7 linked regions of the Cricetulus griseus genome follow. The protein of the gene in region 3 purifies or fractionates together with the protein of the main gene of each other region. This does not show direct contact. Links are inferred from orthologs where the notes say so. Each region holds a gene or a part of one and is shown on either strand. Other genes may lie near its edges. The genes, in order: Dhx38, ATP-dependent RNA helicase DHX8, Nudcd1, Copg2, Dhx15, Copa and Copg1.

Region 1 (4,096 bases), on a different chromosome or scaffold from region 3:
GGAAGACAAGGCAAAGCCTGTAACTTCAAAGCGCTGATCCCACTCAATAGTCTGTGGAGCTGTGCACAACTGAGTAGGAAGGTAGCTGCACAAAGACAGGTTGGCCTGCCACTAAAGGATACTGCTATCCCCACCCTCAATATCACTGCCTGACTCCAAATGGAACCAGAATTTATGGGAAGTGCTGAGGCAGACAAACTTGCTGATCTCAGCATTCTAGGAGGACGAGCAGTTGGGAATAGCAGAGGCTCAGTACATAGCTCACCCATCTCTCTGCACTTTGCATTGTTTTAAATCTAACATTTAATGAGATTCCCATAGCCCTACACAGAAAACGTCCAGATTTTTATCACGGTAGCATACCATTTCATATGTGGACCACACTTTAGTGGTCCTTCATTGATGGACGTTTGTATATTCTCGTGACCTGGCTTAAGGCGTCTTCCTAGGTGCACTTTATCACATGGCAAACAGATCAGTTATGAGTGTGTGGAGCCAGGCGCTGTGGCACACACCTTTGATCCCAATACTTGGAAGGCAGAGGCAGGCAGATCTCTGTGAGTTTGAGACCAGCCTGGTCTATACAGTAGGCTCCAGGACAGCCTGGGCTACATAGAAAAACTCTTTCTTGAAAAACAACAACAACGAAAGTGTGTGGAAATCACAATTAAATAAATATTCCAAGATATCATCAAAGGACATACTTGAACATGGACAAGTGATTATTATTTCCACTAAGGGTCTCGTTTAGTAGCTCAGGCTGGCTTTGAGTTTGTGGCAATCTTCCTGTCTCTGCCTCACAATTGCTGGGATTACAGGAGCGTGCCACCAAGCCAGGTAGATAACTTATTTACTCAGGGCGGATATGTCTACTTTCCAAAACGTTCCGCACCTGTGTTTTACAAGATGCGGGCGGTTGGGTTACTCCTGGTCCACAGGTGCCAGGGAGGACACAAACCACCTGTCAGCAGTCCGGATTCCTTCACCGATAGCCAAGGCACAACTGTCTCCTTCATCGGTCCCAACCCGGGAAAGGACCTTAACCCCAACTAACCTGGGCTGTTGCTTAGAAACCCTTCTTTGGCCTGCAAACCCGAACAAACGGAAGTGAAAATGAAACACGGACGCAGAAAATGAACGTACCATCGCGCGTCCCAGTCAATAGCCCAATAAGCAGACGGCGTTATTATAGTTCTCGCCCATTTGGCACTGCCCCAACAGGAAGTTATGTCATTTCCGCCCTTAGTAAATATGGCTGACCTCGGTCTGTCTTGCCTCTCACGCCCACAGGCCAGAGGCGGGGTATCAGCTATCACTCTAAGCACGATTGGTCGCAAGGAAACCTGGGGCCCAGAGGAAGACACCGTGGCTTTGAAGGCGTGTTCACGTTGTTTCTCTCTGGCGTCCAGGAACCTTGTATTTCTGGGCTACTCTCGATGGTATTTTTGGACGGATAGAGGACCCCGCGCAGGGCATTATGGGACAATGATGGCCGCTTTCAAACAGTGGAATTTACCTCTTTGAGACCCTCAGACCGAGCAGTGTTCGCGCTGGCGTCCCCAGATCAGTGGCAGAAGGTCCCGAGAGTCGTGCTTGGTGAAGTGAGTATCTCTTCCTCTTTCCAGATCCGTCCTTCGGCCGCCATGGTGGCTCCAGGCGGCCGGGGTCGGTTCGCGGCTTAGGTTTTGGGCCCTGGTTTCAGAGTTCCTCTTGTCCTTGTTACCCAACTTTCTCTACTCACTTGAGCGGTCTTGTGTCTATTCAGCCTGCTCCGGACTTTGTCCCCGTTATGGTCACATCCTTGTGTTTGGGAACGGCCCCCTGAGATCGAGGCATCCGCCCTGCGCCCTGGTTTATTTAGGACGGTGCCCTAACCTGTTACCTAGAGAGTCTGGATAGGGCTCCTGCTGCCTTCCTCCTTTCTCACCGAAGTGTCTCCATTAAGTCTGGTGGTTAATCTATAGGTAGAATATTAACCGCAAAGGGCAGGGAGTTTTTGGTTTTTGTTTTTAAAATCGGTATTGTTGAGAACAATTGACTCAAGGACACATGCAGTTGCTGCCCAAGAAGTCCTTTGTGGCTTCTGTGTCACTGATCTTTCTCCATAATCTGGCCCTGGAATTCCTTGTTTGCTATTTTGAGCGGACAATTAAATCCTTCCTTGACCTGTGTTGTGGATAAACTTCTTGTTGTCCAGAGAAATGTTTGAGTTCTTGTTCTCTTTTAATAGGATATATTTATTCATTTGCTTTAAAATTAGACTTTCATTTTGCCATTGCTGGGTTATAGCAGTCAACAAGACAGCCTCTCGCTTGTATGCAAATGACATTTTAGGACATAAGTCATCATTCAGGTAACTGCTGAGAGTCTGTGTACCTCAGTCTCCCCGTCTGGATTTCCTCATGTATATTTACATGTAACTTTCTTTTTCTGCTCCACCTGATGGAATTTCCAAATGAAGCTCTTGTTTGTTCATCTACATCATGTTTGCAGTACTCCTTGGTAGAGCTGTGCATGCCGATTAGAATATGGCAAAAGAAGTGTAGATTCCAGAGGTACAGTTCTTATGCTTTAACGACTTACTGGAATGAGAATAATTGTCTGTGTGTCCAACATAAGTTCATGCTTCTAAGTAGATGGTATCAGTTAAAGACGAGTGTGTTATCAACCAGGAGATCTTGCAGTCTCTTAAACACTTTCCTGAAATACCACTTCCTTAACTTAGCATTTCTCATATGCAAGTTTGGTAAATACAGTTTCTTATTCAAGAGATTTTTGCCAGCTATGGGCAGCTTTTTTTCCCCCCTTTTTGCACAAAACACTACTGATCACAACAAAAGTCACCAAGTGTGTAGAATATGGATGGTAAAATTATGTCCTTACACTTACACTTTGTGGAACCTGTGGCTTCAAGGGGGAGGGGATAGGTGAGTAGAAGAATGTATATAAAATATTAGAAATATTAGTAAGGAAACTAGTCAGTATACAGGGGCATAATAGCAAATGTGTAATAATTACACTGACAAAACATCTATGGTTCATGTACAGTTGTTAGATTCTCACAGTGGTTCTGTGCAGTGTATAGAGAAGTAATAGCTAACCAAGCCTGCTGCTTACTCTCACAGAAGCAGAAAATGCCAAGAGCCTGGGTATCTTTTTTATTTTTATTTTTTAATGTCTGTTACTAAAGAAGAGGGTGTGCTGCTGCAGCTGACATGAAAAAGGCCAGCGTGTTTGGTTGATGTTTGGAGGCAGTAAGCCAATGGGGATCTTAAAGGTGATTATTGTGATTCTTAAGTAGAGAAAGTAGAAGGGTGAAATTACAGGAGAATAAATTAAATAATGGGTAGGGAAAATCTATGAGTGAGGGCCATGGGCATGAATGAATGAATATGTCACTAAATAGTCTAGCAGTTATGAAACTCACTATGTATCTCAGGCTAGCTTCAAATTTGCCATCCTCTGGAGCCTCCTCAGCTTCTCACCTGCTAAGATTACAAGTGGGTGTCACCGTGCGTAGGACCAGAAACTGGATTTTAATTGAGGTTTCTGACTTACATCTAGTTCCCCTTCTAGTCCCTTTTTGTATTCCAGTAAGAAGTCCTTACTGAAGTTTATTCTTGTCTGGATGATACCCTCTTGATCCTACCACTTGCTCTGTGTATATGTGTCTCTGTGTCTTTCATATATGTTGAGGTGGGAACTGGGAAACTTTTTGAGATCGTCACTGATTTGGTGGGAAAGTCTTCGGAAGTAGCAAAGGGGGCTAGAGAGATGGCTCAGTTGGTGAAGTGCCTTCTCACAAGCATGAGGATCCGAGTACAAGGAAAGCTATGAGTAGAGGCACTTGTGTGCTGAAGAGGCAGACACAGGCAGATCCCAGGAGCTTGCTGACACCCTAGCTTGGCTGGATTTACTCCCAGTCCAGTGAGAGACCCTGTCTCAAAAAGTAAGGGAGCAACTGAGAAAACACTTGACATTGACCTCTGGCCTCATGTGCACACAGTGCCTGTGTACCTGCATGAACACACACACACACACACACACACACACACACACACACACCCTCTGATAGCAGAAGATGCTTTGGGCTCAG
Region 2 (3,500 bases), on a different chromosome or scaffold from region 3:
CTTCACCATCCCTGGTCGGACCTATCCAGTGGAAATACTGTACACAAAGGAGCCCGAGACAGACTATTTGGACGCCAGCCTGATCACTGTTATGCAGATCCATTTAACAGAGCCACCAGGTGAGGGGAGTGGAAGGCTTTTGTCTTAGGCCAAAAATCCTACTGGGTGTATTTTTGGCTAGTCTTGTAAGAAACACATTTTAAATATTGTTCTCTTTGTAAGTCTCAGGCATGCATATTTGGAATAAAATATTATTCCAAATTAAAATAGTGATATAATAGTTTAAAAAAGTGATATAAGGTTTAAATGCACTTAATTAAATGTAGACAGATGATAACCTCTTGGTTTATTTTTGTGATTTTTTTTTCTTTTTAGTTTTTCGAGACAGGGTTTCTCTATGTAGCTTTGGAGGCTATCCTGGAACTAGCTCTGTAGACCAGGCTGGCTTCAAACTCACAGAGATCTGCCTGCCTCTGCCTCCCGAGTGCTGGGATTAAAGGCGGGTGCCTTATATGTAAATGGAAAATATATGTTTTCCGTTTACGTGTGTGTGTGTGTGTGTGTGTGTGTGTGTGTGTGTGTGTATATATATATATATATATATATATATATATATATATATATACATACATACATAGTAATGCTGTTAGTGTTGCTGTATCCTTTTACACACAAGCAGTCTGGTGGTTTGTACCTGTGGTTCCAACTACCAAGAGGCTAAAGCAAGAGGATTGAAGTTTAGGACCAGCCTGGAACATGATTCAACTCTATTTCACAGTAAAACAGATCCAAGCCTGGTTGCAGGCTTGTAATCCCAGCTAGTTAGCTAGGCAGATAGATCTCAAGTTCAAGGCATGCCTGGACAACTTGTCTCAAAACTTTTCAAAAGTGAAAAGAGAGCTGGTGATGTGGCTCAGTGAGGACATGCACAAGACTCTAAATTTGCCGGGTGTTGGTGGCGTAAGCCTTTAATCCCAGCACTCGGGAGGCAGAGGCAGGTGGATCTCTGTGAGTTCGAGACCAGCCTGGTCTACAAGAGCTAGTTCCAGGACAGTGTCTAAAGCCATAGGGAAACCTTGTCTCTAAAAAACAAAAAAAAAAGAAAGACTCTAAATTTTACCTCTCATACCACAAAAGAAACAACAAAACACCCCCGACCCCCACAGAGACAGAGGAAATAATGCCTCATTCTCTTCATAGGTGATATCTTGGTTTTCTTGACTGGTCAGGAAGAAATTGATACTGCTTGTGAGATCCTGTATGAAAGAATGAAATCTCTGGGACCTGATGTCCCGGAGTTAATCATCCTCCCAGTGTACTCTGCCCTACCCAGTGAGATGCAGACCCGAATCTTTGACCCAGCTCCTCCTGGCAGCAGAAAGGTAACATGGGCTTAAATGAGGTTGTCTCATATACCCTGAAGTCCTGTGGGGTGTCCAGCCTCCCCAGTGATGGAATTACAAGCACATGCCACCATGCCTACCATTTTTATATGGGTTGTGGGTATTAAACTCAGGTCTTCAGACTTTTGAGACTGAGTACTTTACCAGTTGAGCTATCCCCTTGCCTTAATTCATCATTTTTAAATAAAATAATTGATTTTACAGCTGGACATGGTGGCATGTGCACATCATGACACGTGTTCAGGTCAGAGGACAGTTTTCAGGAATCAATTCTATCCTTCCACCATCATTCAGGTCATCAGGCTTGGTGGCAAGTGTCTACCCACTGAGCCATCCTGCTAGACCTTGCATAAATTTTATTTTGTATATTGTTCACTATAGGCATTAGGTTATTTCCACTTTGGGATATACCATGAGTGCTTCTACTGTGAACATTTGTTTACCAGTTTCCTGGGATGTGTGCTTCTCTGAGTGTAGTCCCAGCAGTGGATAGGAGGGCGCACAGTCGTTCAGGAGACAGAGGGGGTGAAGGGTGAGGGAAAAATAACTTCCCTGCTTCTAACTTGCACAGCTGCGTGGAACACGGTTCTAACATGGGAGCAGGTTTGGGAGGGGCAGATGTTGAGTTCTTCCTCTGTCCTGTTTCTGTTGGTTGGATTGTTTTTTTTTTTTTTTCTTTTTTTCAGCTACTTCTTTTTTATGTTGATTGGTGTTTTGCCTGCACATATGTTTGTGTAAGGGTATCAGAAGCTCTGGAATTGGTGTTAGCCACCATGTGGTTGCTGGGAATTGAACTCAGGTTCTCTGGAAGAGCAGCCAGTGCTCTTAACCTCTGAGCCATCTCTGCAGCCCCCAAGGTTAGATCGTTTCTAAGCAGGGCTTTTGGCTGTGTGGCAGGTAAATGCCTTCCAGGGCCAGTAAGATACTGGTATGATGTGAGACATTTTGGCGCCTCCTAGCAATGTTTTTTCTAAGCAGTTGCATTTTATGAGCTGAACCTCTGGGTGGAAAGCCAAGCTGAGAGTCATAATCTTCTAGATCAGACACTGCTGCACACACACACACACACTGTGAAATTCCTCTGTCGCCTTGTGGCTCATTTTATGGTGAGGAGAAAAGATGCAACCCTCCTCTTGTTCTACATATATGAACAGCCCATTCGTAGTCCAGATGTCCCTGTGAGAGAAAGAAAAATCTCATTTTGCAGTGGCACATGTGATGCCAGGAAATCTGTACTTTCCCAGGGAGCTAGGAAATTAAAATTATAGTAATCATCCGCTCTAGACAATGAGATGCACAGCTATTTATACCAAATGAGGTTGGCTCTGAGCAGCCTTAGCTGTTTCCTGCTTTACACCTCTGAGGCACCACCTACTTCCAAAGGAACCCTTCAGATGAAGGCTCCTTCCCCTCTGAACACTGGAGACCTGAGCCAGGGTTAAATGTCAAGTGTCTAGAGGGAGATAGCAGCAGATCCCGGCAACATGTGAGACCTGTTTCAGCTCAGCTCACTCTGGCTCTGTCTGTCTCATCTGTAGGTCGTGATTGCCACCAACATCGCAGAGACATCACTGACCATCGACGGCATCTACTATGTAGTTGACCCTGGATTTGTGAAACAGAAAGTTTACAATTCTAAAACAGGGATTGACCAGCTTGTGGTGACACCTATCTCTCAGGTTGGCTGCATCTATCATAAGCTTTTTTCTAAATCCTGGTGAGGGTCTTTCTGGGATTGGTTATGGTTCTGGAGGGGTCCCTCCCTTCTTTCTTTCCTTTCCTGTTTGTTTCAAGACAGGGCCTTGCCAGGATCTCTGTAAGTTCTAGACTAGCCTGGTCTACATAGTGAGTTTCAAGAGAGACCTTGTTTTGAAAATCAAAAAAATAAAAATTAAAAAAGACAGGATCTTACTGTATAGTTTAAGCTGGCCTTAGATGTGGGACCCTCTTGCTTCTGTCTCCTTAAGGGATTATAGGCATATGGCACCATACTTAGCTTGATTCTGTATTTTAAACCTTACTGTCTTCAAAGGTTAACTTAGTGTGGGATAAAGGAAGGCTTCATAGGATGTTTGCTATCCACTGTGTGTGTGTGTG
Region 3 (3,500 bases):
AACAAACTTTGGGTTTGTTTAAGGCTATCCAGGGCTTTTTATCCAAATATGATAAGAACATACTTGACTTAATATTGTCTAATATCAATGTCTAATAATGCATCCTGCATTATTAAATTTCATCCACACAGTGGTGCTAGAAAACCAACAGTTGGCTGCTGTTTCCCTCTTGTTTAGTAGAGTATCCATTTCTAACCCTTCCTTCGCAAATAAATCCTTCCTTAAACTAGAGGGGGCATTCCACAGCCCCCATCAACATCCTCAGAAACTTGCGATTTTGCCTGTCAAGTCTGAAATGTTTCCAGGCTTCAGTCACCCCTCTTGGATGTGAGTTGGCTGACGTCAGTAGCTTGCTGTTGGTTTTGCCCCTTCTCTGATACAGTCTGTATTCCACATCTCATTTTTGAGTACTGTCTAAGGACCTCAAATCTGAACTTTATTCTCCAGTTTAGAAACAGATGAATCCTTGCTTACAGCGAGTTTCTAAAGGCAGAAGTCAAGGTAAAGTCAGATTAGGCTATCGAAATGCAGTTTCTGCCCTCATTCTCCAGCTGCATACATTTGCAGCTATTCTTGGTATATAGTTCTCGTACTTCCCAAAGCCAGGGAGCAGGGAGGTAGCTAGTTCTCATTGTCACCTTGACACAATCTGGAATCACTGCGAAGGGAATCTCAATAAAGAATAGATCAGGTTGGCCCGTGGGTGTGATTGTGAGAATTGATTGAGGTTAATTAATTGTGGGAGGGCCTATCTTGAAATGAGTGGCACCGTTTAATGGGTTGGGCCCTGGCTTGAGTGACAGGGAGAGATGAGTTTAGCACTAAGCTTGCATTCATTCTCTCTCTGTTCTCGACCATGGATGTGAGTAGCTGCTTCAGGTTTCTGCCTTGACTTCCCTAGCAGTGATGGACGGTGACCTGGATTTGTGACGTAAATAAATCCCCTTTTCCCCTGAATTGCTTTTGTTGGGGTTTTATCATAGCAATGGGAAAGAAAACTAGGACAGTCAGTATGAATACTTGTCTTTTTCTTCCAGTTTTTCCTGGTTTTGCTTAGAAGGCATGTTATTTAAACGTCTATTACTTCAACAACATCTTCCATCTGTATCTTGGCTCAGTCTTGGAAAGCTTTTGTTAACCTCCTGAAGTAGGTCAATTCTCTTTTATATATCCTTGTGGTATTTGTATTTTCTACATAATGTTTTAATTGTATTAAATTCATTATGCAATATGTGATCATTTGACTAGTGCTTTTTTGTTTTGGTTGGGGGGGGGTTGGTTATTTATTTATTTATTTTTGAGGCATAGATGGTCTCACTACATAGCCCTAGGTGTCTTGGAACTTGCTGGCCTCTAAATCACAAAGATCCATGAGCCTCTGCCTCCCGAATGCTGGGATTAAAGTGGGCACCATCTTGCCTGGCGGCCTGGCGGCCTGGCGGCCTGGCGGCCTGGCGGCCTGGCGGCCTGGCGGCCTGGCGGCCTGACCCATTATCCTTTTGCTTACCAGATGCTGAGTTTTTAGCAGGTAGAGTGTGTTCTCTCTGTGTATCACTGGTGTCGCTGGTGCTCATTATAAGACTTGCTAAGTAAATGAATAAATATGTAAGCTAGGACTCAGTGCAGGCGTTGAGAATAGGAAAAGTGGGGCCGGAGAAAAGGCTCAGCAGGTGAGAACGTGTGTTGCTCTTGCAGAGGGGTCAGTGCCCAGAACCTAAGTGGTGGCTCAAAAGCATCTGTAACCTCAGCCCAAAGGATGGCTTCTGGCCTCCACAGGCACCAGGCATGCACGTACATCCATGCAGACAAACACATACACAAAATAAGTTGAAAGAAATAACAAATGGTGTGAGGCCCTGGATGGTTTTTACTGTCAACTTGACACAATTAAGAGTCACCAGGAGAGGGAGTCTCAATTGAGGTAATACCCAGGCCTTTGGCCCTGTGTGATTGCTGATTGACATGGGAGGGCCAAGCCCATGGCTGACAGCAGCACCTCTGGGCAGACGGTAGATAGATTCCAGAAAGCTGGCTGAGCACAAGTCAGAGGACGCAAGCCAGTAAGCAACAACAGCCCTCCGTGGGTTCTACTTCAGTTCCTGCTCTGACTTCTGAGTCCCTGTCCTGACTTCCCTCAGTGATGAACTGTGACCTGAAAGCAGAAGCTGGAATTAACCCCCTCCTCTCTGAGATGGCTTCCTCTCATGGTGTTTACTACAGCAACAGAAAGGAAACTAAAACAGCGGGTAAAGGAGAAAATAGTTGGCAGTGAGAATAGTGTTCAAATGAGTTTTATATAAAGGTAACGTGGAGGTTCAGTGCAGTTTACTTAATTTTCTTTTTGTTACAAACAGAAATTAGTTGTAGGGCATGAGTAGCCCTGAGCTGCAAGTTCTTAACCACACAGAAAGGCACGAATGTGAGGGAAAGACTATATATATTTGGCCAATTCAGAATTAGGCAAAAGCTAATGTTTTAGTTCAGAGAGCCCCGTTCCATACACAGAAAACCTTGTGTATGTCCCGACTATGATACTGTTTTATTCTTTATGATTGGGAATGATGCAATGCGATGGTGAAGTTACTCTTTGTGTTTCTGCCTAGTTTCCTAACTGTATAATCATATAATACAGACATTGTCTCTTTCTTTATGTGTGATAAAGATGAATGACACACTGGAGTAAGAATGCTTTATAAACTGGGATTGTTTGCCCACAGATTAGAAGTCCTTACAATTCAAAATCATAGAGGGACATAAAAGGAAAAGATTGCACTATGGAAGTCCTGCATGCTGCAGCCTCTGTAGCTGCCACTGTCTGGTTTCTATGCCCTGTAGGCATTTTGCAGAAATGAATGATCCGAGGTGCAAGTTTGATGATTGTGTTCATGTCTATATATACACACAGATGCATGTAAATATGTGTGTCTGTTTACATATGTTTGTTTGTCTTTCAGCTGTAGCGGAAGTGAAGCTTCGGGATGACCAGTATACGTTGGAGCACATGCATGCTTTTGGGATGTATAATTATCTGCACTGTGATGCCTGGTATCAAGACAGTGTCTACTACATTGATAACCTCGGGAGAATTATGAACTTAACAGTGATGCTGGTAAGAAAAACATGCAGGGTGGAAAGACAGAGCTCACCCTGTTCCCGTTGGTTCTTTACTCTCTCCTAGTCTGATGTCCAGACAGTCAGGAGAGCACACTTGCAAAGTGGAGACCTGTCGTCAAACTGTAAGGCTGCCTCTCTGCTTAATGTCAGTCGTAGCTTTTACTCCGTAATCCCGCTACCCAGCCATTTCCTCCCGTGTGTGGTATATCCTCAGTGTAATAAAGGATTTCTTCTTTTCCCTTTTACTTAGTGCTTACATTGTGTCATTTTTGGTGTTTATGCTGTCATGTAAACTATGTAACATTTATGTTAGTATTAAGACATAGTCCTTTTTTTCCCTCTAGGTCTTGGGGATAATTTATGCCTTGAGGTCTTGTTTATCTGAT
Region 4 (3,500 bases), on a different chromosome or scaffold from region 3:
GTTACAGGTGTGATGTGACTTTGGAGGACACCCTGGGACTAGGTATACAGCTCTCCTTTGTGTTCCGACTTTCATGCAGATTTTTGCCTTGAATTGGAATCCTACAGTCCTTGCCTTTCAGTGTAACAGGAACACTATAGTGCTACCTCTCATTTTTTCACTAAACCAGTATATGGGATTTATGTATGGATGTGTCCATAGATACATTTTAAGTGATTCTAGTCTATGCCACTAATACAGGTAAATTATCCTGTAATCCTGTTTCACGTTAACTCCTGACCTTATATACTTGGTTTCCAGATAAACTCACAGAAACCGTCACTAGTTGCCTTCATGTGCTCTTTTTCCTATTTTCTTCTCAGCTCAATAAAATTTGACCCTCTCCTTTAAGTTTTTTTTCTCAAGTTACTTTTTAAAATTACATGTAAGTTAGTGGGAAAATCAGACTACTTGACAATTTTGATCTTAGTTCATGTCTCAACTTGATAAACTGTTTACTGGCTGCTTAAGGAAACTCTTCCTTTGGTTTTTATAGTGTACTCCAGTTTTCTGTCATCCCTTGGTCTATTTATAGTCTTTCTTTCTAGTACATTAATTGGCCATCCTTAGAATTGTCTTATCACTGTATACATTCTTCTGGATTGTGTTTTGGAGCTCTATTTGTAGGCATGGTTCTCCTGAATAAGAATGTCCACCATATACCCCATATGTAATGTGAAATTCAAACTAGTCCAAATTGAAATCTTTCCTTGATCCTCAGAAGGCAGGGATTTAGGTCACCCTGAAACCTCATCTGTTCCTCACCACAGGTCTGTCACTTTGGCCTCCTTAACTGGTTTCTTCATTCTCTTACCTTCTGTCATTGGGTACAGGTTTAGGCTTTCATTCATTCTGATCCCTAGCTGCTCTGCTTCTAGTGTCACAGATTGTTTGTTTGTTTGTTTGTTTGTGGAATATGAAGAGTGGGCATTAAAATAACACAAATTTGGGCTGGAAAGCTGACTCATCAGTTAAGGGTACTTACTGTTCTTGCCAAGGACCTGAAATTGGCTCTACCTGTAACTCTAGCTCCCAGGGGATCTGATACTTCTGGCCTTGCCAGCACCTACACTCTGCTGTGTGTGTGTGTGTGTGTACCTACCCAGAGGCATATACATTTTACATAATTAAGAATAATAAAAATATTTAAAAACAATCACAAATACATCCTATACCTATGTGAGATAATAAACCTTTAATTGAAACATTACGGTTGAGCTATGTGTGGTTTTTTTAGTTTATCTAGTCTCTCACTTTCACTCTCTAATGTGGCTCCAATTCTCAGCCTTTCTCATTCAAGACTAGTAAATACACTTTCTACTCTGGACACAGAACATTTATTTGTTTTTCTTTTTAATACTCTTACCTTGTCTCTTCCCTTTGGCTAAACTAACTATTCTACAAAATTAGCTGCAGTAGTGTCTCAATTCGTTGTTTGACCTAAGCCCCCATTTCTGTACTTACCTAGCATCTTGGATATAGTTTTGCTAGAGATTTACTAGGGTAAGACAGTCTCTTTCAAAGACCATGTCTTTTATCTTTGTATTCCTCAGCTTTTGCCACACTTCCAGTAAAATTTAGGTGAGCATTAAATCTTTGTTGAATGAAAAGAATGTTAGTAATAGCTTCTTGGCATTAGTTGTTTGAAATTTGAACTGAATCATGTCAGAGGGTATAGGAAGAGCTATAGGTAGGTGTCCTAGGGTAGAGACAGCTTACACAGTATGTATATGATTCACAATTCTGTTTATGCTTAAGTAATCAAGGAATTGCTAATGAAACAAGACTTTATTTCTACTGAATACTAGTTGTTTCTCATTTGCTTTTGGTTTTGGTTTATTTGTTTTTATTTTGTTTTTTAATACGTGGTCTTTGTATCCTAGGCTGGACTGAAACTCACTCTGTAGCCCAGGCTGGTCTTAGACTTTGAGTAATTTTCCTGCCTTGGGCTCACAAGTGTCTGATTTGTTTTGGGAATGCTTATTTCTTAACTCTGAGAAGTCAGTATTTATGTTGCTTCATTCTGTGTTTCACAACAGCTGCTGTAAGTGCTTTGGCTAAATTTGGAGCTCAGAATGAGAGCCTTCTCCCAAGCATCCTGGTCCTCTTACAAAGGTATATAAGAGAATGCCAGCTTTTGAAAGATAAAGATTCCATATAGCTAAGTAGTGAAAAACCTCATTGCCCTATTGTTAGACACACTGTAGGGCTAAGAGTAGAGCTAATAGAGCTAGTCAGGGGCAAATGCAGTTTTTCCTATTTCTGATAGTTATATATACACAAGATACATGTGAGATTTGAGATTTGGATTTCTTTTACATGATTTTGAGGGAGTAAGGTAAATATATGTACTTCAATTTGTACAGTAAACACTAACTTTAAAGAGAGGTTAAACAATTCATATGAAGAATTGAAGATAGCCTTTCATGATCTTCATAACTCCCTAGTTGTGAGGGAAAGTCCTTTTTAATATATATATATATATAATTTTTTTTTTTTTAGACGGGGTTTCTCTGTGTAGCTTTGGCGCCTATCCTGGCACTCGCTCTGGAGACCAGGCTGGCCTTGAACTCACAGAGATCCACCTGCCTTGCCTCTGCCTCCCGAGAGTGCTGGAATTAAAGGTGTGCACCACCAACGCCCGGCTTTAGCAAGTATTTTGTGATTGTATTTTATATTTAAAGCAATTAAGTCATAAGCCAAAGACTGACTAGTTTAAATGAAGCAGATTGCCATTTGAACAGTACTGAGTGCTAGTTTTCTTTGTCTCCGTAGCGTAACATTTCCATTTCTTAGTGTTAGAGAAGCTAAGTCTTTGTTGGGCTCTTGTAGTTACAGACTCTACATTATTATGTCATGTTACTGTGTTCTTCCTAGTGACTTCAGGCCTCCTAGTGTAGTAATTCTGACTTGCAATGGCATCTCTTTAGTACTTCATAACAGTTCAAAGAATCATGGAAAATTTAGGAGCCCTTGTTGGCTATTATTGAACTCTGCCATAAAAGTCATATCAGATAACCTCAACTGTGCTTTACAGGAACAGTGGTAAAACTGTTGGAAATCTTTGGGATATAGAAACATACCTATGCCATTCCTTCTGAACAGGTGTATGATGGATACTGATGATGAGGTACGGGACCGAGCTACCTTCTACCTGAATGTGCTACAGCAGAGACAGATGGCCCTGAATGCTACATATATCTTCAACGGTTAGTGCCTTAGTGTTATGGAGACATGACATAGCACTTCTGTTCAAATGGTCAAACCTATTTTATGGTGATTCACATATTAGCTGACTCCTTTAGGCAGTTGCATGGTTTTAATCTTTGAATGAAATTCCATTTCTAGGGAAACGTATATTCATGGAGGTATTTTCTAATTTGGTAATAGCAGTTCCTATGAAATAATATGTATTTTTTAAAGTATAAAAGGGTCCAAAAGAATATTGCTTATCTCTAGTT
Region 5 (3,500 bases), on a different chromosome or scaffold from region 3:
TTCAAATATTTTAACAAAGAAAACAACCCCAATGTTTCAGATCTCTCCACTCAAGCACTAGAAAACAAAGTTTGTACTCCTAATTTCTACTGTCCCAGAGTTTTCCTGCTATACTCAGAATAACAAGATGAGAAGATAGCAGTTATTTTCCTGTATAGACTAAGAAATCAACCCTCTTTACTAAAATAACACCCTAAGTCACTAAAAAGCGTTCGCCAAAGAACTCTTCTTCAGGATATTCTACACGACATACAATTGCAAATGAACAGAGAAATAGAAAATGACTATCATGACCAAACCAGCACATTTAGTTAAATTTAAACACTAGCATAACATATTTACCATAGTATTTAACAACTCACCTGTGTTGTCTTACCAGACCCAGTCTCACCAACCAGTACAAATGACTGATGTCTAACAAGAATATCTGTAAACCTATCCTTGTATTCCCAAACAGGGAGCTGAAGCCGTTTCTTTAGAATATCATAATATCGAGGCGTATGGGGCAGGTTAGTAAACGGATTAATGCACTGTGGAAGTGATGTGTGTCCTGCGTGCCCAGTGTGTGTTGAATGGGCAGAATGTGTAGAATGTGTTGAATGAGCCGAGTGGGTTGAGTGAGCTGAATGAGAAGCTTTTAGAGGAGGCAATCCAGCACTGATAAGCATAGCGTTGGTGGAAGCTCTCAATTCTTTTTCCTTTTCTTTCTCCCTCTCCCGTTCTCTATCTCCTCTATCGCGTTCTCGGTCACGATCTTTAGATCGGTCTTCTCTATCCCGGTCTCTATCCCGGTCTTTCCTGGAAATATAAAAATTTAAAAATCAGAGTGATTATGTGTATAACATCTCAACGAATTATTAGAAATGATCGGATTTTTCATGCACCACCAAGAAAATTCTTTACTAGACAAGGTCTCTAGTTCCATCCTTCTAAAACCTTAATAACTGATAGGAAGACCATCAAAATGGCTCAGCAGATAAAGGTTTGAGCCTAAGCCTGACAGTCTGAATTCAATACCCAGAACCCACATGGTGATAGGAGAGGACCAACTCTTCTCAGCTCTCAACACAAGATGTAATATAATAAAACTTAAAAAAAAAAAAAAAAAAAACCAAGTCAGGCACTCAGGAGGCAGAGGCAGGTGGATCGTTCACTATAAATCTATACACACCTTGATGAATCAAAATGAAATGTAGTCAAATTAAAAACAAAGTTCACAGACTACAGAACTGTTGTAAAAATTAAGTAATTTCTACTGAACTAAGGATAATTTTAGTCATTTCTGGTATCTACAACAGATAATCCTAATGGAGTAAATTCAACTCATATATATATCACAAAATGCCAAGAGGTTTTCTGACCTGGACTAAAACAATGAGGCAATGTGGAGACAACAGAAACAAACCCCTAAATCTGTCATTGCTCTTTACTTACAACACATAAAGTTCATTTCCTGTGACACAAGTATCTGTACAGTACAGCAGGAAAGCGCATTCACTCTCCACAGTCTTTTAGAGGAGAAACAGTAAAAACCTTAAGCAGAATACAACTAAAATGCTTACTAAACAGCACAGAATGAGAATCGTTCAGCCACAGCACTGGTAAGTTGATAATTGTATCTGATTCTGTTCATAAAATATGGGACTCTATTCCATACAAACTTGCAGGGAAGAAAAGCCCTATTAGAATGTGACTTCTCCCATCCTAACTACCCACTACAGATTTATGAAAAATACAACATAAAGCTGAAATAAATCCTCACATGCCACCCAAAACCCAAAGAAATCAAAACTATATAGGTAAAAGATTACTTAAGAACTACAAAACAGCTGGGCATTGGTGGCGCACGCCTTTAATCCCAGCACTTGGGAGGCAGGCAGATCTCTGTTGAGTTCGAGGCCAGCCTGGTCTCCAGAGTTGAGTGCCAGGATAAGCTCCAAAGCTACACAGAGAAATCCTGTCTTGAAAAACAAAAACAAACAAACAAACAAAAAAGAAATACAAAACAACAACAACCAGGCCATAGTGGTACACGCCTTTAATCCAAGCACTTGAAGGCAGAGGAAGTTCTGAGTTCAAGGCCAGCCTGACCTACAAAGAGAATTCCTAGACAGCTAGGACTGTTACACAGATGAACCTGCCTAGAGACAGTCCCCCAAAGGAGGGAGAGAGGAAGGGATATAAGTCTTAAAATTTCAAATTTGAGCCTTATCTTTGAAATATATCACATTCATTGCTACTTTTGCTTCTCATTTAAGTGCTCTTTAACTGGGCATTGATATCAAATCAAAAATGTAAGTTTATAAAGCAAAGAAAGACTCAAACAGCTCAAGGACTGGATACCTTTGCAGGCCTAGTGATTTGGTGGGTAAAAGCACTTGCTGTGAAAGCAAGAAAACCTGAGTTCAAATCTGTTAAATTAGGCATGGCCTTGTGGTGCCTGTAACCCAGCATTGGTGAGGGTGGATCTTCAGAGTTTGCAGGCCAGCCTAGCTGAAAAAAAAAAAAAACGGTCAGCTTCAGGAAAAAAAAAAAAAAAAAAAAAAAAAAAAAAAAACAGCTTCACAATCAGCAGTGTCTCAACTAACTGGGCAATGTATTCAACAGGGGCAGGCATGAGCACACGCATGCACATATACACACACAGAAAAGTTTAAAAAAGGGTTTACATTTGTAGCTATCATTTTGTTATAAAGTACAAAAAGAAACTGAACAAGCATCTTCCATATTTAAGAGTATGGAATCAGTTAAGATACAAACCTAACCTTTCCAAAACTACAAACCTGGGTGAAGAGATACTACACAAAGCAATCCACATAATGTTATGTGAAAAATTAACACCTACACTAACACACACCTTTTCCAGGACACATTTCACCTACAGCTTCATTACTATATCAGAGAAAGAAATAGAATACAAAACACAAGGATTCGATGACGAATAAAGTGAGAATTTAACATCACCCCCAAAAAAGAGGGGCAAGGCAACCAGTTGAAAAACCACAGAAAAGGCCTAAAACTCAGCAAAGTGATGAAGAAAACATTTGGGATGCAGAAAACTACTTCAATGGTCTAGTTTTGCAGTTCACACTAGCTACTCTGAATGACAAAGGTAAGTTTTTAAGTCCCTCTCCAAGCATAGGTAGACTTGTCCATATGCAGCTTCTTGTTTAAAAAGGGCACTTACAAAAAGTTTTTCTCATAAGAATTTGCTAGTTAAGCATAACACTTTTAATTTTAAAGAAAATAAAAACAATACTGGTGTGGAAGTACACATCTTTAACCACAAAACTTGGGAGACAGAGGCAGCAGGCTGATCTCTGGTCTACACAGTTGAGTTTCTAGGATAACCAGAGCGATGTAGAGAAACATTGTCTCAGAAGAAAGACAAAGCAAGCTCTAAATAGTTCTTTAGTCAACACTATGACATTTATCAAGAACAGTCAGTGTTTCCTTGCTCACATGCAAGTTTTGTCTATTGATACAGAACTAATAACATT
Region 6 (4,021 bases), on a different chromosome or scaffold from region 3:
ACTAATTAGTTAGAAAAATACTTCTGGTCTAAGAATATAGATTACCAAAACAAACAAAGAAAAGCATTCAACAACAAAACCCAGCTAAGAATCTGAACAGACCTAGGAGAAACCTTATGCCACACACCTGTTAGGTGAATCAAACACCTGATCATTTGTGTGCACACCTAGAGTATGGGGCAGCTACAGTTTCTCCCTTGAAGATGGTCAAAAACAGTGTGAAGTAGGGGAGATACAGTCATGGGTATAAACAGAAATGATTGCATTTTAGGGCTTAACTAAAAAGCCATATACATATAAGGAAACACAGCTCTGCTTAATTTCTTAGTTGAACATACTAGAAAGAATTACAGATGTGTGAGTGAGTGTAATTCACAATTGCAAAATTAGTAAATATTAGATTTTAAAAAATGAAAATATTCATCTACATTAAATGTCTAAAATTCCTTGAATCATTACTTCCCTCCTAGCAGTTTAAAGCGGCCAAGGCCACGTTAGCCTCACTTTAGAAAATAAAGAAAATAAGGGACACACTATTAGTGTAGAACACTGACAGGAGGAAATGAGCGCTCTCTCTCTTTCTCTCTCTCTCTCTGTCTCTGTCTCTCTGTCTCTCTCTCTCTTTTCCAGTGTTGCAGAAGCGCCCACAAGACAAGACTTTTGGTCTCAAAATTACTAAACCAGCGAAGGGAGGTTGAGCTTTTTACACCTGTCCCTTTTGACTGTGGGTGGGGTGGCTGGGGCTTTAAAGAAAACGGGGCATGCGAATAAGGAAGAAGAGAATCAGGTTGGAAACCCAAAAAGGGGTTGGAGAGAACTAAGGGAAACGACGTGCCTCGGGAGGTAAGAAATGAAGGTCCAGGCCAAGGGGGAACTTATGTCATGGGAACGAAAGACAAGAAGGATTTACAGGGCGGGGGGGACAGAGGGGCAAAGGGAACCAGAAGGGCGACAACGCCTGCACTTGCGATGGGCCGATCGGGACGGTTCTCCTTACGGAGCGGAGCTCCGGGGTGGGGTGGCCTCACCTGCCAGTATCACGGAAAAAGACAGAAGGAGAAGAAGACCCCGACTTCCTGGGTCAGGCCCAGAGCCGCCCCTAGTTGTAGCCATCTTGCCTCTCCGCTGAGCGGAAGCCTCGGGCCCCTTCCAGCCTCGTATCGGCCTCTCTAGGCTTCCGCTGGCACCGTCTCTGTGGCCCAGGGCTCCAGAGACCGGAAGTTAGTGTCTGAGGCGCTTCCGGGAGCCACGACCTCGGGTAGCTGACGTGGAGACTTTGGGAAGGCAACCGGGAGCGGCGGGGCTGGGTAGTCGGACCTGGGAGCCCGAGGCCTGAAGGATGCTAACCAAATTCGAGACCAAGAGCGCGCGGGTCAAAGGTAGTGAGGAGGAAGAGGGGAACAGCGCAGCTTGGGGGTTGGGGGCGGTGCTGTCACTAAGGAAGAGAGAACCGGCGGGCGGGCGGGCTCGCCCACCGGCTTGGGCCCGCTCGAACCCAGCGGAATAGCCGAGGGAGGCGGCCTAGGGCTGGCGGAGTCTCCGCACTCTGCGCTTCTCAGTGAGTCCCGGGGTTTGGTTTACTCGTGAAATGGCTCCTACATTGAAGAGATCACTAGGCCCGCTTCCTGCTCCATCCACCTCTTCTGGGGGCTGCGCTCCGGCTTTTACTCTCTCTGTTGTTAAGGCCTTGTGACTTTTATGCTTTTTGATGACCGTATTCTACGGAGTACCCCCGGGGCTGGGTTCTCAGCCTCTGTCACTGTGTCGCTTCTGGAGTCAGGCACCGGCTACTGCCTTAGCCTGTCTGCACCGTCTCCATGTCCAGTGCTTCCGTTGGACGTTATTGCCTGCTTGCTTACAGACCCCTAAAATCCAGAAACTGTAAGACTGTTCGATGAACGAAATACAAGATGCTTTGTATTAGGTTTGAATATCACATAAACGATTTTTTTGGTAATATTTTTTTGAAGAACGAATGCCTGAGATCACACTCTTTCGTAATGTTGAAATTAGAAGAGCAGAGAATTAAGCCTACAGAAATCTGGTTAAAAATATATCTGGAATATTTCCTAAAAATGCATTATAGTGAAGTGATTTGGAATTTGTTCTTTGGAGTCAAGTGGACTTGCTGAGGAATTCTGAAACATCCACTAACAAGCTATATGACCTTAGGTGGCATACTTACGATCTCTAAATCTCTGCATTCTTATTTTTAAAAATAAAGGTAATTAACATTATAAAGAGAATAAAAATGTGAAAGTATATTAAATATGTTTATAATAATTCCTGGCCAGACTCAGTAACTCAAAAACTGGAGGCTATTTAATGTGAGGCTATATTCTGAGCAGTTTCTGAGTCTTGTGGGAATTTTGGTCATGAAGGGTACCATTGAGAGTTCCTACTACCACCATGACTATGTAGAGAGTCTGTCTCAAAACGGAAAAAAAAAAAAAGAAAAAAGAAAGAACTGTCATCTCTGGTGCCAGTCACAGTGGCTTTAATCCCAGCACTCTGGAGCCAGATGCAGGTGGATCTCTGTGAGTTAGAGGCCAGCCTGGTCTATACAGTGAACTCCAGGCCAGTCAAAGCTACACAGTGAAGCATTATTCCCCCCCCCCCAAAAAAAAGGTTTAGGGCTAGAGAGAGATGGCTCCATTAACAAGATTTACTGCTTTTTGTTTGTTTGTTTGTTTGTTTGTTTTGAGACAGGGTTTCTCTGTGTAGCCTTGACTGTCCTGGAACTCACTCTGTAAACCAGGCTGACCTGGAACTCAGAGAGATCTGCCTGCCTCTGCCTCCTGAGTGCTGGGATGTACCACCACCACTGCCACCGCCTAGCTGAATTACTGCTCTTGCAGAGGACTTGAGTTTGTTTCCCAGTTCCCATGTTTGGCAGCTCACAACCACCTGTAAATTTAGCTCCAGATGATCTGATCCCGTCTTCTGGGCTCCATGGGGCACCTGAACTCAAGTGCCCAAACGTAATTTAAAAAACAAACAAACAAACAAAACCAGTTTCTGAGTTTGAAATGAGTCTTCATTTCCTATTCTTTTTAGATGTCTTCTCAGTCTGTAGAAAGGTGTAGAGGGGATGAGTATTAAGAGTTCATGGAAATTGTTGAATCGGGGTTAAGAGTGTATGCTGTTCGTACAGTTTGATTTCCATCATCCATGTCACGTGGCTCACAACTGCCTATCACTCAGCTCTGTGGGATCCAGTGCCCTTGTCTGTTCCCCTTTAGGCATCTGTACTAATGTGCACATAACTTCCACACGGACACACATAGTTAAAGATTTTTAAAAATTTTAAGTGCTAAGTTGGACGCTGTGGTTTGTGTCTGTAAATCCCAGCACATGAGAGGCTGAGGCAAGAGAATTGCTGTGAATTGGAGGCTACATGGTGAAACCTGTCCAAAAGAAAACGAAAAGGTGTTACCAGTAATCATAAAAATAAAAGAAACACCATGCAAAATAGGTGCCTTCATAAACTTGCTGATATTCATATACTATGTCTTTACAACTAAGCAATAGCTACCAGAGTTGGACGTTGTGGCTCTCATCTGTAAGCCCAGCACGTGGGAGGCTAAGGCAAAAGGGTTGCTGCAAGTCTGAGACTAGCCTGAACTACAAAATGAGACCCTGTTTTAAAAAACCCAAACATTAGCCAGATAATGGTGGTGCACGCCTTTACTCCCAGCAGTCAGGAGGGAGAGAGAGAGAGAGACAGGTGGATCTCTGTGAGTTCAAAGCCAGCCTGGTCTACAAAGCTAGTTCTAGGACAGCCTCCAAAGCCACAGAGGAACTGTGTCAGGGAAAAGAAAAAGAAAACAAAAACAAAAAACAAGGAATTAAAAAAAAAATTGCTGGGTGTGGTGGCACAGAAGCAGGCAGATCTCAAACTTGAGGCAAGCGTAGTAGTAGTAGTAGTAGAAGAGAGTTTCAAGACAGCCCTGGCAAAGAAATCTTAGCTCTGGAAGACAAAAACATCAGCAACAAAGCCCCAAACATTTACCAAAACATT
Region 7 (3,500 bases), on a different chromosome or scaffold from region 3:
ATGTCTTGGGTCAGGGACACCACACCTGCTCTAAGGCCGCAGGAAGGTCTAAAGGCTCCAAGAGGGGGCTGGGTCCTGGGCAGGCAAGAAGACTCACCATTTAGTATATAACCTGCATTGAGGGCCTTCTGCTTCTGCTCCAGAACGTTCAGATAGAAGGTAGCTCTATCTCTCACTTCATTGTCGTCATCCATCACACACCTGTGGTCAGGACACAAGGTAACCCTGACTGAGTGTAGCAAGTGTGTCAAAGGGACCCTGTAGGGCTGTATGGGGGTGGCAGGGCGATGCAGAGCTCTTAAGGCTCAGCTGCCAAGAGTGGAGGCTCTAAAATGGACAGCATAAAATACAAGGGGCTGGTCAGCTGAGTGGAAGACAGCTCCCTAATAAAGAACTCACCCAGGAAAGAAGACAAACCAAATGTCACAAAATACACAGAGGTTCCCTTGAGCTCATAGGAGACATACTTACACCCTCTTCTGGACTCAGCAGGTACTAGGCACCACACACACAGTGCACAGATATACACACAGGCAAAAACTCACACAAATGAGATAAAAATAATTAAATCTTTGCTGGGCATGGTGGTACACACCTTTAATTCCAGCACTTAGGAGGCAGAGGCAGGTAGATCTCAGTGAGTTTGAGGCCAGCCTGGTCTACATGGCAAGTTCCAAGATAGCCAGGGCTACATAGAGAAACCCTGCCCCCCCCCCAAAAAAAAAGAAAGAAAAAAATTCTTTGGAAGGACAAAGCAGTGGACTGGACCAAGGGGACACTGTTATGCTCTCTGGCTTCTGCACCCAGACTCACCTTTTCAGCAATACCAAGATGCTAGGTAACATCTCTTCATTCTGGGCTCCAAACTTGGCCAGAGCACTCACTGCACCTAGTTCCAAGGTAAATATGATTCACCAACAGCTCCTCAGTCCCACCTGCCAGAGAGCTGAGGGTGCCCACTAGTGCTCAGAGAATTCATGCAGAAGAGGTAGTGGGTGGCACCAATACGATCCTAGAACAACTCTTGTGCAATCCTGGTGGATCCTGGTGCTACCCAGGCCTCAACTACTTCTTCCTGTTATTGGAGAAAAGGGAAGACCAGTAGCTTCTGTTCTAGGGCTCTACGGGCTACCTTCAAATGATCAAGGCCACAGACACTATCAACACTGTCAGGCTATTCACCTCAGAACAGCTTCGTGTGTATGTAAATAGGCCTGAGAGTACAGCATATGAGAAAATAAACCATCACATAGTGAACACCAGCTGCCAAAAGAAGAAAATCTTCTTAAGGATGCACAGAAGTAGGAAATGGAAAATAAGATGAAATTAAGAACAAGATGGTAGACTGCCAGATCACTGTTTATATAAAAAGGTAAATTTTATGTGTGTGTTATATCTCAAGTTTAAAAACAAAACAAAACAAAAAACCCTAGGTATGGTGGTGCATACTTGTGATTCCAGCATACAGAAGACTGAAGCGGGAGGGTTTCGAGTACGAGCCAGCCTGGCCATATAACAATACCCTATCTCAAAAATAAAATAAAATAAAAAAAGGCAAAAAAAACCCTCTAAGCACGAAACAGGAAACCTTTAAAAAAAATTAAATTGTAGAAAATCATTTATCCAGATGCATGACATATAAAGTCTTTCTGACAATATAAAAAACAGCTCATGAGGTCATGCCCCTGGGGGTTTGGGTCCTTTTACTGGCAAATTCACCGCAAAAAAGCTAAGCGCCCAGGATCACCCCAGCTCAGACCTACCTGCCCGAACCTCTTCATGCTCCAGGACCACACGGTTGTAGATGAAGCGAATGTACTTGGAGGGGTTGTTGGTCTTGGGCCCCTCCTGGCCCAACAAATGCAGGATCCGGGTAGCCAGCACAGTGAACTCGCAGTCCTCAATGAACTCACACAGGTGTGACAGTCCCGTCTCCTTGCTCTCTGAGTTCTCCTCAATGATGCTGATGATGCAGTCCACTATGGCGCGCTTGTACTCAAAGCCACCCTGCAGAGACAAATGTCTAGCTGAGCAAGGAGCTCACATCCTCCCACAGCCAAGGTCAGCTGAGGGAGGCCCAGAGCCTAGCCTGGCCCAAGACACTGCTCCACAGCTGGAAACAGGAGCCTAGGCTTCTGTCTGTGTTGGAAACTCACCAGGGCAGAAAGCTTAATGGGAACCTTCTGGACCCCAATTCTCGTGCTGAGAGAAAGATACACTCTATTAGAGAACTGCCATGTGCTTTAAAGCCCAGTGAGAAGCTGGCTCTGGAGGAAGGGCTGCTCCCTACCCCTACCCCGACGCCGGCCTCAGATCCAAGCATGTTTTGTCTTTCAAGACCCATGTCCAGGGATGGTGTCACCTGCCCCGTGAGAAGACAAAGGAGAACAGCAATACAGCTCAAAGAGTGAAAACAGCACCACTGAGAACAGGAGAGTAAATCACTTAAGTAAAATCACACTGTCCCTTAAGATGGCTAAGCAGTTCGTTCCCAAAGCAAAAGGCTCCCCTACTGCTTATCTCACAGTAGAAACACCTGTGGTGGATGTGACTCACTGGAAGCCTCACCTGACAGGAGACAGTCTGTAGGGGACTCTCTGTCAACAAGGGCCTCAATGACTTGTTCCCCATGGCTTTCCCAAGCACTCCTGCAGGATGGTGTGTATAACTTTATGTTCTACTGTCTACCTGCAGTTTGCTGTTTTCTCCTTTACCCTCGCTTGCTATATACCTAACAGACTCACTCACCTGAAACTGAAAGCCTGGCTATGGGAGACATGAAAAAAGGCAGAATGGGTGGCACACCCCACGTGGAAAACAATACAGTGGTTCCTCAAGGTATCAAGCACAGAATTAGCTAACCCAGTGATTCCACTTTTGGGTATCAGCAACAGAACACCTCTCTACACTCATAATCTTCGAAGCACCTGTCACAACAGTGACAGCACAGAAGCAACCCAAGTGTTCACAGGAGTATGAGTGGACAAACTGTAGTCAGTACTTTAAAAGGATGTTATTCAGCATTGAAAAAGAAGAAAATGAGCCGGGCGTTGGTGGCACACACCTTTAATCCCAGCACTCGGGAGGCAGAGGCAGGAGGATCTCTCTGAGTTCCAGGCCAGCCTGGTCTCCAGAGCGAGTGCCAGGATAGGCTCCAAAGCTACACAGAGAAACCCTGTCTCGAAAAACCGAAAAAAAAAAAAAAGAAAAGAAAAAAAAGAAAAAGAAAATGATACATGTTATAATATATATATGAAATCCAAGGACATTTATAAGGGAAATAAGGGAGGCAGAAAAAGAAGAACACTTCCTGATTCCCCTCAAGATAACTGAAGCAGTCAGATTCATAAACACAGAAGAACTGTGGGTGAAAGGCTAGAAGAGGCAGATGGGGAGACAGTGTTTAATAGATACAGTCTTAGCTAAAAACCAAAAGACTTGGGGCCAGAGGGGCTCAGCAGTTAAGAGCACTTGTTCATACAGAGAAATTGGTTTGATTC

The links.
Region 1: the proteins of Nudcd1 (region 3) and Dhx38 purify together in Homo sapiens (co-immunoprecipitation; 3 studies listed by BioGRID and IntAct, with this or other methods). This does not show direct contact. The link is inferred for Cricetulus griseus from reciprocal best matches to the Homo sapiens genes NUDCD1 and DHX38.
Region 2: the proteins of Nudcd1 (region 3) and ATP-dependent RNA helicase DHX8 purify together in Homo sapiens (affinity purification with mass spectrometry; 3 studies listed by BioGRID and IntAct, counting the BioPlex papers as one, with this or other methods). This does not show direct contact. The link is inferred for Cricetulus griseus from reciprocal best matches to the Homo sapiens genes NUDCD1 and DHX8.
Region 4: the proteins of Nudcd1 (region 3) and Copg2 purify together in Homo sapiens (co-immunoprecipitation; 3 studies listed by BioGRID and IntAct, with this or other methods). This does not show direct contact. The link is inferred for Cricetulus griseus from reciprocal best matches to the Homo sapiens genes NUDCD1 and COPG2.
Region 5: the proteins of Nudcd1 (region 3) and Dhx15 purify together in Homo sapiens (co-immunoprecipitation; 3 studies listed by BioGRID and IntAct, with this or other methods). This does not show direct contact. The link is inferred for Cricetulus griseus from reciprocal best matches to the Homo sapiens genes NUDCD1 and DHX15.
Region 6: the proteins of Nudcd1 (region 3) and Copa purify together in Homo sapiens (co-immunoprecipitation; 3 studies listed by BioGRID and IntAct, with this or other methods). This does not show direct contact. The link is inferred for Cricetulus griseus from reciprocal best matches to the Homo sapiens genes NUDCD1 and COPA.
Region 7: the proteins of Nudcd1 (region 3) and Copg1 purify together in Homo sapiens (affinity purification with mass spectrometry; 3 studies listed by BioGRID and IntAct, counting the BioPlex papers as one, with this or other methods). This does not show direct contact. The link is inferred for Cricetulus griseus from reciprocal best matches to the Homo sapiens genes NUDCD1 and COPG1.

The regions. Positions count from the first base shown.
Region 1 is NC_048596.1:185,933,518-185,937,613, reverse strand, and holds the start of Dhx38 (pre-mRNA-splicing factor ATP-dependent RNA helicase PRP16), read left to right. Parts: upstream 1-1,296; 5' UTR 1,297-1,601; intron 1,602-4,096. UniProt on the Homo sapiens protein: Probable ATP-binding RNA helicase. Involved in pre-mRNA splicing as component of the spliceosome.
Region 2 is NC_048600.1:116,339,022-116,342,521, reverse strand, and holds part of ATP-dependent RNA helicase DHX8, read left to right. Parts: coding exon 1-119; intron 120-1,200; coding exon 1,201-1,382; intron 1,383-2,941; coding exon 2,942-3,082; intron 3,083-3,500.
Region 3 is NC_048603.1:8,622,444-8,625,943, forward strand, and holds part of Nudcd1 (nudC domain-containing protein 1), read left to right. Parts: intron 1-2,954; coding exon 2,955-3,109; intron 3,110-3,500.
Region 4 is NW_023276806.1:197,043,267-197,046,766, forward strand, and holds part of Copg2 (coatomer subunit gamma-2), read left to right. Parts: intron 1-2,078; coding exon 2,079-2,154; intron 2,155-3,144; coding exon 3,145-3,248; intron 3,249-3,500. UniProt on the Homo sapiens protein: The coatomer is a cytosolic protein complex that binds to dilysine motifs and reversibly associates with Golgi non-clathrin-coated vesicles, which further mediate biosynthetic protein transport from the ER, via the Golgi up to the trans Golgi network.
Region 5 is NW_023276807.1:120,436,044-120,439,543, forward strand, and holds part of Dhx15 (pre-mRNA-splicing factor ATP-dependent RNA helicase DHX15), read right to left. Parts: intron 799-3,500; coding exon 363-798; intron 1-362.
Region 6 is NC_048598.1:20,775,643-20,779,663, reverse strand, and holds the start of Copa (coatomer subunit alpha), read left to right. Parts: upstream 1-1,221; 5' UTR 1,222-1,339; coding exon 1,340-1,379; intron 1,380-4,021. Other genes in the region: Ncstn (nicastrin), read right to left, coding at 1,029-1,113. UniProt on the Homo sapiens protein: The coatomer is a cytosolic protein complex that binds to dilysine motifs and reversibly associates with Golgi non-clathrin-coated vesicles, which further mediate biosynthetic protein transport from the ER, via the Golgi up to the trans Golgi network.
Region 7 is NC_048601.1:55,406,229-55,409,728, forward strand, and holds part of Copg1 (coatomer subunit gamma-1), read right to left. Parts: intron 2,008-3,500; coding exon 1,764-2,007; intron 890-1,763; coding exon 814-889; intron 202-813; coding exon 98-201; intron 1-97. UniProt on the Homo sapiens protein: The coatomer is a cytosolic protein complex that binds to dilysine motifs and reversibly associates with Golgi non-clathrin-coated vesicles, which further mediate biosynthetic protein transport from the ER, via the Golgi up to the trans Golgi network.